3 linked regions of the Solanum lycopersicum genome follow. The main gene of each other region encodes a partner of the protein of the gene in region 3 in a complex. Links are inferred from orthologs where the notes say so. Each region holds a gene or a part of one and is shown on either strand. Other genes may lie near its edges.

Region 1 (3,652 bases), on a different chromosome or scaffold from region 3:
GGACACTGATCTATTGCATGTCTTTGCTCCTCCAAAGAATCCCAAGTTACTACTCCTTCCAGCAAATAGAACACCGTGTAACAGATTACTTCCAGAAGATTGTCATTATCAACCTGAGAATCTTGTGAAGCTGTTTCTCCGACCCAATGTCACGGTAAGTCTCGTCACTTTGATGAGTTTGTTATTTGCTGACTACCTTAAAAATACATTCTGATTGCTTGTATTCTCTTGCCTTAGTGCCTTGGAAGGAGAGGAAAGCAAATCCCAGGTGAGATAATTTTTATGGCCATCAACTGTTAAAACTTTGTACATGGACATAATTATGGATATGTATAACATTAATGAGTGATAGATTCTGTTTTTGCAGTTGATTTTTAACTGCAAATGTTGAATTTGAATTCAAATGCATTTTTGCTAGGTCATCTTACCTACTAGAGCAGTGACACTACTGTGGCTTTTGACAATTAAGTGCTTTAAATGATTTCATCTGCTTTTGAGTTGAATTTAGAAGAGTTCTTGCGATGTCTTTTGTAAATCCTACTTTCCTAGATATGAATGCTCTCTATTGGCTTCTTGACTATTTCATAGGTTGTGTCTTCTACTGCCTATAGAATTAACGTACTCCTGTTGCTGTATATTTACCAGTTTTCATAAAAAATCGGAATGTCACGTATTGTGGCAGATGAAAAAATTGTTACTATGTGACTTGAGTTGCATGGTTCTTTGTGTAGATGAAGCTGGTCAACAAAGTGAAGATTTTGGAGCCATGCCATCTTGGGATGATGATGGTGGATTTCCTGAGGCTTTTGATGATGGCAACACATTTAGTGATGTGGAGGAATCAAGTACACTTGTCTCTCAACCCCGCCAGGTTTGTTCCTGTTTGCAAATCTTGACTATATATGTTTGTGGTTCTGCAATCTCGATTCCTCCTAGTGTAACTTTCGACGCTTAGGCCAACAATTGATCAAGTATGATATATACAATTGAGTGAGATCTCCTGCAAAACTATGACTTAAACATTTATCAACTTGTACTTAACCAGTTACTACCAAATATCATGTTATGAGTACCAGGCACTTCAAACCCTGTCACTGATTTTTGCTTTTAAGAAATTTGCACCTTAGCTGTTCTATTAAGGTTTTGCTGTACCTGTTTCTTTCTTTCTTTTTTCTTGTGGCTCTTTGGTACTATCGTTAATAAGTCATTGTTTATGTTGAAAAGAAAATATACTTCATCAAGGACATTTGCAGCATTAATAAGCATTAGTTCCTTTATTCTTTAGGCAAACGTAAGAGAAGAAACGTCAAATTGTGTTATCTGTCACTTAATATGTGGGAGGAAAAATGTCAAAATGTTCATGTTGCTTGCTAAATGGAAACTTATTCCGACAGAAATCTTTCGTTGCACAGTTACTAGGGGATGTTGTTCCTCTGTAGAATTTGCTAGATGGAGGGCTTCTTTTGAAGCAAACTGAAACATCTAGTGACCTTGTCTGAATTAACAGGTAAACAAGATTGAAGTTCAGTATGATAAAACATCCAAACAAGTAGATGTTCAAGCACTTAAGGAAACACTTTGGGACCAATTGAATCAAACATCAGTTGAGGTGAGTTCAAACTTCTTACTTCACTGGTAGTGTGTTCTACTTCTTGCTAGTGAATTTATGCATTTTTCCCATGTAGAATATCCTCTTATATACAACAAATTTAGTATTCGTTCTCATCACCATGCCGAGTGATAGTGCCACATCAACTGATAAGGAGAGTATTATTATTATTTTGCCATAGATTTTGGTTCGGAAATTTGAAATGGTATTTGTAGATTATTTCAAGCAACTGTTTGTTTATCAAATTGACCGGCTATTTAACTTCAAATTTGAAGTTTGAGTTTTTCATGTTTTCATTCAACTTGTACATATGAAACTTAAACTTGTTTTCATGTCCAATCACAATTTCTAACTTCCAAATACCCCTTCTTCAACTTCAAATACAACTTTTCTTATATCTCAATCAGATCATGTCCAAACACCTACTTAGTGTTTACCAGGGATTGTTAAGGTCAAACGTTTGATATTGGCTCTTCTTAAATAGTAGCAAGTGAAAATAGTTCTAAGGAGATGAGCAAGTGATCCATTTTTTTTCTCCATTCTGTAGTATAATATAGTTGACAAGTGGATATTCATTTATCTTAGTTGGATATGCAGTTTTGAACTAATTGATTACATCTAATATGGAAGCAATCAATTGGAAGCTAAACATCCGATATTAGTTAGACTTGTTTATCATTTAAACAATAAAAGGGTGTGCCAGAGCAATTGTACGATAGTCTGTTAAGGTCTGAATTTGATTGATGAAATATCTAGAAAATTTACATACTTGATTTACTCCAGTATTCAACTTAAATCCCTCAAAAGGGTGGGAAGCTGTAAAGCAAATGAATATAACTGCATAGTCATTAATGAGATTATAAATGAACTACTAAATTGGCTGACTTTATGACAATTTCTTTAGCCAATTTTATTTAATTAATGCGGTTCAAGACTCCCTTTGTTAAGCAGTTCCTCCAGGGTTGTTCTCTTATCATTGATCAGCATAACATTCTAATTGACGGGGCTTTATCCATTTACCTTTTAGCATGTTTGTCAGACATCTATATCCTGAATGATTCACATGGTAATGTGCAGGAAGAAGGTGTATCTTTCAAGCACATCTTGGCTGCTTTTCCAAACGAATGCAAAGCATCAACATCCGTCGATGCAATATCTCCTCATTTATGCTTCATTTGCTTACTGCATCTTGCTAATGAACATGGATTACGGATACAAGGTTGTCACGGCTTGGATGATCTCAGTATACAACTTGAAACTCACGAACGGTCTTCCTAATGCTGTGGCCTAAGTCATTTATTCTTTCAGCTTTTGGATTTCTTACTGTAATGTATATCACTTGTAGATTGGCCATTCAAGCATATGCTGCTTGTGGTGGATCCTTTCTTCTGTAGTGCTTTATAGGTTAGTTAATTCGTGTAAATTATCAGATATTGTCAACAGTTGGCTTTTGAATTGTTGTCAATTTTCAGGCTTTTGCTGATATTGTACTTACTACATTTATTTTGCTAATTAGATTGACGCAGCCATGTATTTGTGCTTATGCCTTTCTGTACGCTAAATAAAATAACTGAATCTTTTCAATGTGGATATAGCAAAATTTAGTTGAACTTCTGTTGAGCTTTTGATATGATTTTTTATAGGCCCAAATAGAGCAAGTATTACAAAGCGGTTGATGAAGCCATTGACACTTAAATTATGGGTTTTTTTGAACTGAACAGTTGAACATATTTTTGTTAGACGTTTTCTGTATATATTATCACATTTGAACTGACACCGACATTCCTTAATTCTTATCCTTAGAAACCTACTTGGACTATCTATCTTAGATAGAGAACTATGGGACGTATTGCAACCTGCCTTATAAAAAGGTTTTGCAAGAGATTACTTACCATGACTTAGATCTATCCGGTCTTTGAAGGAATGTTTATTACATAAGTAAATTACTTAAAATTGAGACTGATGTGTATAAATAGAGGGAAACACATATTTTGTATGACTAATTTAACAACTATAGAAGTTTGAGAACACATAGAAAAAGTT
Region 2 (3,500 bases), on a different chromosome or scaffold from region 3:
AGTTCCTTCAATCTATTAACTTCATCCTTACTGGGTTCTGATGCACTTCTCAAGGAATCCAGTTGCTTTTTTAGATCATCGCATTGGGACTTCAGGCTATCAATCTGTACAGAAACCAAAAAAGCATTTAGCTCTCATGGTGCAAGACAAGCGTTAAAAGAGATTAAAAATAGTCATAGAAAAGAATTGCAAATAACATCAATAAAACATGAATGTCAGACCTCTTTTTTGCATTTGGCTAATTCCATCTCGCCAAGAGAAAGAGCCTTCTCTGAGGCCTGGTAACACTTCACAGCATCAGTAATTCTTTGGCGTACATTATCCAAGTTTCCGGCGATCTGTGAAAGTTCATTTTCAGCAGCAGATATAGCCTCTGGTGAAACGCTAGCAGCACGGATAGATGTGCCCATTTTACCACCACGAGGTTTACCCCCTCCACCACTCATTGTTCCAGATTTTTCAAAAAGAGCACCTTCAAGTGTTACAACACGGCGAAACTCTCTGTCCCCACCGTAGGCAATACGTGATGCCTGCATAATTAACAGTATCGCAAATTATTGATCTAGCAATTCTGCCTAATAATGAAAATACATATAATGCATGTTGTCTGAGTCTTGACGTACAATTATGGCGATCAGCAAACCTTACAAAAATAGTATTTGAAATCTCCATGTTATTGTATGTCCTAAAATAGATAACTGGAGAGCCCTAGCTAAAATCACATTTCAAGAGGTCCAAGTGTTAAATTTCTCAATCTTTTATTTGGGCGACAGAAAATAATCACTGCATTTGCTAATCAGTCAAAATGTTGACTAGAGATAATTTTACCAAGCAAGTCAAAAAATGGTATGACAAGCCAAATAGTCAAAACAGTTGTATTTCATCAGGGAAGAATTAAAAGAATTATGTAAACATCACCTGATCAATATCTTCTGCAACAACTGTATTTCCTAATGCAGCAAAAAATGCTAGTTTCATCCTCTCATCTCGAACTTTCACCAAATCAAAAAGGCGTGGGACTCCTTCTGGCGTTCTGACTTTCTCTCTGATTTTAGGCAAATAATGAGCTTGTTTTTCCTGCGAAAAATATGTATAAATCAAATATACATTTGAAATAACACCAATGATTTTACTTTTCAGGGACTCCTTACCAATGAGTATTTTGGAAGTGTAATTTTTAATGGTAATTACACATTTTCTAGTTCAAACCAAATACATTTGACCTCCAAAATCAATGTGAGATTTATCTACTATTTGAATGCAATACTTTATTGCACTTGCTTAATTTCATCTTTTTTGTAGCCAACTAGCATTGGGAAAATACTACCAACTACCAAGGTACTGTGATCCTCACAGAAGGTCTTTATGATCCAGCTTCTTATTTAACTTTCACTGCAGCAATCATGTTCTTTTTTCTTTTTTTCTTTTTTTCTTTAGATAAACTGCAGCAATGTTCTTTCACATGTCCAACAGAGAGTGAGATTCCAATCCAATTATAGACCACTTGGTTAGCTTCTCCAAAGGGCACGGTGTATAGTTTAAGAAACTACAAAAATTAAAGAAGACATACCAAAATCATGAAAGTTGCTACGCCGAGGGTTTTGCTTCGAAGAAGCTCCACGCATGCTTGTGCTGCTGCTGTAGTTTCTACAACAATATAATCAAGCCCAGAACATGCGGTTGATATGGCAACATCATACTTTGCTGTGGGAAAATAAAATATTCAGTAATTTATGCTCAAATTATGTGAGCTATAGTTCAGCTCTTAATTTCACTACCTCTGCCAACAAATGAAACAAAAATAAAGCAAAGGACGTGAACTAGTTTTAAATGTGACATAAATATTCTCACCATCAATCGCACCCAAGTCACCCATTCGACCATATATGCCATCTATCACATTTGCCTCCTTAGCATGCATTATTGCTTTTAGGACAGATCCCTGGCTCTTTTCAGATTCCATAACAGATGAAAGCTCAGTAAGCTTTTGTCTGGCCGCTTGTTCAAGAGGTATCAATCTTTCTTGTTCTTGAAGGCATTCCTACAACCAGTCAAGTACATCACAAGCCCAGAACAAATTCAACAGCTGGTTAAAATGACAAATGGTAGAGATACTCAAAACACATACCTTTTCAACAGCTCGAGCCTCAAGTGCTTTAACCTTGTTCTTCTCAAGCTCATTGGCGATGTTTTTTGAGCTTGCCGATTTTATCTCTACTCGTTTCTGTATTTCCACAATCTGCTCTTGTGCTTCAATATAGGCAGCACGACCAGCCTCATGCTGAAAGCATTAATGACTAAACCCATGAGTGAAATATTAAATAGCTAGCTTACGGACCAACTAAGCAATTTAAAAATGTGTATTATTCTGAAAAACTGCTAGTACAACTTCACATGAGGTAATGCGCTTGGCATTTTAAGCTTCCATGTTGGAATAAGACAAGTCATGACTAAAATGCTTCATGCAGCTTCAGTTAAAAAGTGCAGATCTCATAGGGTAAGTGAATCATATTATAAGGAAAAGAGCTGTCGGAGTAAGAGTAGAGAGGAGATCTCAAATGTTATAATCAGCAAATACCTTTTCACTCAAAAGTTTACTTTCAGTTGATGCCACTTCAAGCTTTCCCTTGTGCTCAATTAAGTGCTTTTCCCAAGGCTCTAATTCAGACCGAACAGCAGAAAGCTCACTGCGGAAAGCCTCGGTTTCAACTATTTGGAAACAATTGTACAAGAGTGAGAGAAATATATTTGATATGTTAGAGCTAGACCAATAAATAAGGCTGCTATGAGCAATAAACATCAATGGTTAGATGCAAAAGTGAACTTATGTAATAACTTAAATTGTTAGTCATCTAACTCTTACCCAAAAGCACCAATAAGAACAGCCATTAATTATCAAACCAATGGAATATTATCTAAAGAAGTTAATAGAAAAGAGACCTTTAAAATGAGAAACAAGCCTGGAGCTTAAAGTCAGAAAGGCTTCTGAGTGTGATGCCACTTCATATGTACTGATCGAGAGTTATGAGAAAATATCTTTATAACCGATACAGCAATATCAATTATTTTGAAAAAGGAATAGTAATTGATGTTGCTGATATACTTACTTCTGATCGTAAGTTCATAAAAAGTATTTATTCTGGTCAGTGCGTATGGCCTTATGCAGAGATAAGTGTGAGATCTAGAGATCCCTAACTGGACAGAATAATGTAGAAACAAGCATAAAAATATAGCCGACCCCAACTAATTGGAATTGAGGTGTAATTGAAAGAAACTAATTGTAATAATTGCATAATGGCAATAGGACAAATTCAGAGTATTTGACATGCAAACCACCAAACAAGCACTTAATTCAAGTACTTTACCTTTAGAATTCTCCTTTATTTCATCTAAAATTTTCTCCTCATCCACCAAAAGTTGTTGCAAGCCTGGAATATCTTTCTCCAATTTTGGAATAAGATTTGCAGACTCCTCACACTCATTAGTTGTGTCAGAAATTT
Region 3 (4,232 bases):
ATAGTAGTATAAAAATCAAGAAATGTTGACTGTTCCTTAAAAACTACTCCTTCTATAGTATAATCAACGTAACTATTTGTATCGTCCCATTTTTCAGAATGCATAACCAAAATAGCTAATAAGCCCATTATCTGTACATTTATGAAAAGAATATTTATATATAAATAATTCAATGAGATCATATATACAATTAATACAACAATTTTTATACAATCAAATTATAGAAATTTTATACTGTTGTTTTTTTTAATATACAAACACTACATCTACAATAGTGTATACTTCTTCCAAAAATAAATCGTATGACATAGAATTTTTATACTGTTATTCTCTTTAATATACAAAGACTACATCTACAATAGTACATAATTCTATCAAAAATAAAACACATGATTTATGAATATATACAACTATGAACACTGATTAAATATTGTCGCTTTCAAAATATACAAATATCGCGAATAACATATACAATTACATGAACAGTATATAATTGTATGTTGCAAAATTTCAGCTTAACAAAATCATATTTTGATTTTTTTTTTAAAAACAAACGATCGAAAACAATTCACAAATTCTAAAACCAATTTAACATTGTATAGTTATTGCAATAATAAACAAGAAATTTCATCGAATAAAAACTTATCTGTATTTGATTGCAAAAATTGCTGAACTTCAGTTTCACAAAGAGCAAAAAAATAATTATAATTTTTTTGTTTCAATGGCTGTATGATTTTTTTTTTTTGAATTTGAACGTTTAGCTTAAAAAAAGGACGTTTCCCTAAAATTGTGGCATTATCTTGATTTATTGTTACCATATTTAATGCTTCAGTTACAAACAACTTTTTAAAATAGAATTGTATAAATAATAATAAAAAAATTATATACAAAATTAAAGACACCTTTAATAACTAAACTATACTCATATAATGTAATTAGGTAAACTATACCCATATAATGTTATTTAATCAAATACATTTACCATATATGAAATTTTTTTCCTTTTTTTAATAGTATAAATTAGGATGCGATGTAATTAAATGATGATATTTAATTAAATATTTTGAATTTTTAAGTCTTAAAAATATAACATTTACCATTAGAATACCCCTAAAGAAAATAGCCTTTTGTGTTTAGAAAATAATAGAAATTAGGATGAATAAAAATTAATAATAATGTTATCCAATCTTAACCATATGTCTCGAATTTTAAGCTTAAGGAATATAATATTTTATGTTAAAAGTGACGCTTAAAAAATATCCAAATAAAAAGCTAAGAAATATAAAAAATAAGATGAGTGACTTTTTTTTTTTTGATTTTCCATCTATTATTCGATAATTATATTGAAATTCTATTAAATTAAATTTACATAAATATTTCAAATTTATGTAAAGTTTCGTAACCTGATTAGAACTCGAACCCGAAACATAAATGATATTGTATTCCCGCTCCCCTACGGTTCTTTTTTCATTTCAAATTTTCTCATCTCATTCCCAGAACCTCTTCTTCTTCCTTCTGCTTAAGCTTTTGTGAATTCAAAAATCTAACCGATCTAGGAAGTTTACACCATTATTTTCTGTAGAAATTCTTCAAATCTTTGACCCCATTTCTCTAAAATGGCTCCACCTTTCATATTTCCCCCAAATTTATACTCTCTGGAAGAAGAAGACTCCGATAGCAACTGTCTATCAGTTCAAAATCCCACTTCACTGAGCAATCTCCGTCCTTCTGAATTGGAAGAATTTGTCAAAGGTTTGTTCTTTTCTGTTCTTGGGTTTCAGCTTAAAGGTCAATTTTCGATAATTTATAATTTTTTTTTGAACTTACCTATTGCGTGCTCTTCAATTTTTCACAATGGGTTCTTCTTCTTTTGTCGAATTCGGCAACTGGGTTCTCATTCCTTTTCGATTTCGGCAACTGGGTTCTTATTTTTTTTCGATTTTTTCTACTTGGTTCTCTAATTTTTTTAATTTAAACAGGCGTCTCTTTTGACCTATCGGACAAAGAGCTATTCTGTGTGGAGGAGCATGATGTGTTTGACCGTGTGTATTCACTGGTGAAGGAGTTTTCTTGTCTTACTCCAGGGTGTAAGCTCAATTTGGTGGAGTCTCTTAGGTCCAACCTCAGTGTTTTGCTCCCCACTGTGGATTCCCTCTTGAGGGTATCTCAGCAGAAGGATGGAAATGCTGATGAAGAGAAGAATGACAGTGAGGAGGATGAGTGTTCGCTTGCTGATAGAGTTGCATCATATCGAAATGCTTTCAAAATATACACTTTCTTCCTCATTCACATTGTGCTCATTGAGGAGTCTACATCTAGTTCTAACAACAGTACAAAAGTAAATTTCTTTCTTTATCTGATAGTATGTGTGTGTGATGCATGTAGTATACTCACAAGGAGTGCAATTTTATGAAATGCTTATAATGAATTTACTGTTTTTAGTCAATTTCAACTGCATGTATAAATGTGTATTCTTGCGGGCAAGGGATATTGTAATCCTGTTGATACTAAAAATGATTAAAGGTTGTTACTCCGTCCGTTTCAATTTGTTTGTCTTAGTTTGACCTGACTCCAAGTTTCAGTATGTAAAGAATACTTCTGAATTTTGTAGTCTTAAAGATGTATAATGTACCAAAATGCTCTTTAATTTTGTGGTCTCAAACATGCAACACATGAGGTTGAAATCAAAGAATTGCCAAATTAGGAAAAAGTCATTATTTTCGAAACAACCTAAAAAGGAAGGTAAGTGAAACAGATTGAAACAAAGGGAGTACTAAAATGATCCCAGGCGGAGTTTCAAGGGATACTAGAGATTTTGAGTTTAGTTGATTTTGTGATGTCCTTGTGTGTATTTATTTTCTTTATAGCTCTTCTTGAAAGCATATGTTCCTTTTTGTTTCATACTGAAATTTCAAGGGCAATTGATAGTATGTTGATTGGCTCTAGGTGGTCGCTAGTAGTCGAAAGAAGCAACTTGTTAGTGCATGGAATTGGGAGCCACAACGGGCAAGGATACTGAATTCAGTTGCAAATTCATTAGAGATCAACCTCTCGATGCTGTTTGGATCATCGGATCCCGATGAAAATTACTTGTCCTTCATTGTGAAGTAAGGGCTTTTCTTTCTTTTTGTTGAGCTGATTATCTTTAAGTGGATCAAAGTAGTAACTCAATCTGATGATGTGGATTGCTGCAGGAATGCTTTTTCGCTGTTTGAGAATGCGGCAGTCTTAAAAGATTCAGACACAAAAGACGCCTTGACTCGCATAATCGGGACATGTGCTACCAAATACCACTATGCTGCACAATCATGTGCTTCAATTTTGCACCTGGTTCACAAATTAGATTTTGCAGTTTCCCATTTGGCTGATGCAGTTGCTTGGGCTGAAAAGAAGTATGCTGATGGTAGCATGGCTTCTTCTCTTATCAGAGAGATAGGAAGGACTGCCCCGAAAGATTATGTGAAGGATACAGTAGGGGCTGAAAATGTTGGGCGCTTTCTTGTAGAGCTCGCTGATAGAATGCCTAAGTTGATCTCAACTAATATTGGCTTATTAATCCCACATTTTGGAGGTGAATCTTATAAGATGAGAAATGCTCTTGTTGGGGTGTTGGGTAAGTTGGTAATGAAGGCTTTCGACGACGGTGAAGGTGAAGTGAGTTCTAAATCGATTCGTCTCCGAACCAAGCAGGCCATGTTGGAAATTTTATTGGAACGTTGTAGGGATGTGTCAGCCTATACAAGGAGTCGAGTGCTTCAGGTCTGGGCTGAATTATGTGAAGAACATTCAGTTTCAATTGGCATGTGGAATGAGGTTGCAGAAGTAGCGGCTGGGAGGTTAGAGGATAAGAGTGCAATTGTCAGAAAATCTGCACTGAATTTACTTATTATGATGTTGCAGCACAATCCCTTTGGACCCCAGCTTCGAGCAGCATCTTTTGAAGCAACCTTAGAACAATACAAGAAAAAGTTAGATGACCTAGGACCGAAGGCTCAGCCAACAAGTGTTTTGGATGGACTGTCTTCCTGTGATGAAATTAGCAATGAAGATGGGGAGGTCCTCAATGTGGGTGAAGAGATGAACAAGGAACAGTCTGACAGTCTGACAGACAGCTGCTTGCCTCATGAGGAAGATATGATAGGCCAGACAGACGATTCTGTGCCAGATTTTGGGAATTTGGAGCAAACAAGGACCTTGGTTGCATCGCTGGAGGCAGGCTTGAGATTCTCCAA

The links.
Region 1: condensin-1 complex subunit CAP-D2 (region 3) and condensin complex subunit 2 share a complex: the UniProt entries of both Arabidopsis thaliana proteins name them as parts of the condensin complex. The link is inferred for Solanum lycopersicum from reciprocal best matches to the Arabidopsis thaliana genes AT3G57060 and EMB2795.
Region 2: condensin-1 complex subunit CAP-D2 (region 3) and structural maintenance of chromosomes protein 4 share a complex: the UniProt entries of both Arabidopsis thaliana proteins name them as parts of the condensin complex. The link is inferred for Solanum lycopersicum from reciprocal best matches to the Arabidopsis thaliana genes AT3G57060 and SMC3.

What each region holds. Positions count from the first base shown.
Region 1 is NC_090806.1:62,344,342-62,347,993, forward strand, and holds the end of condensin complex subunit 2, read left to right. Parts: coding exon 1-154; intron 155-237; coding exon 238-268; intron 269-731; coding exon 732-871; intron 872-1,507; coding exon 1,508-1,609; intron 1,610-2,686; coding exon 2,687-2,887; 3' UTR 2,888-3,152; downstream 3,153-3,652. UniProt on the Arabidopsis thaliana protein: Regulatory subunit of the condensin complex, a complex required for conversion of interphase chromatin into mitotic-like condense chromosomes.
Region 2 is NC_090801.1:66,532,125-66,535,624, reverse strand, and holds part of structural maintenance of chromosomes protein 4, read right to left. Parts: coding exon 3,366-3,500; intron 2,710-3,365; coding exon 2,579-2,709; intron 2,282-2,578; coding exon 2,129-2,281; intron 2,042-2,128; coding exon 1,852-2,041; intron 1,705-1,851; coding exon 1,571-1,704; intron 1,078-1,570; coding exon 919-1,077; intron 531-918; coding exon 222-530; intron 105-221; coding exon 1-104. UniProt on the Arabidopsis thaliana protein: Central component of the condensin complex, a complex required for conversion of interphase chromatin into mitotic-like condense chromosomes.
Region 3 is NC_090809.1:60,386,476-60,390,707, reverse strand, and holds the start of condensin-1 complex subunit CAP-D2, read left to right. Parts: upstream 1-1,432; 5' UTR 1,433-1,616; coding exon 1,617-1,752; intron 1,753-1,979; coding exon 1,980-2,338; intron 2,339-2,946; coding exon 2,947-3,107; intron 3,108-3,194; coding exon 3,195-4,232. UniProt on the Arabidopsis thaliana protein: Essential protein. Regulatory subunit of the condensin complex, a complex required for conversion of interphase chromatin into mitotic-like condense chromosomes.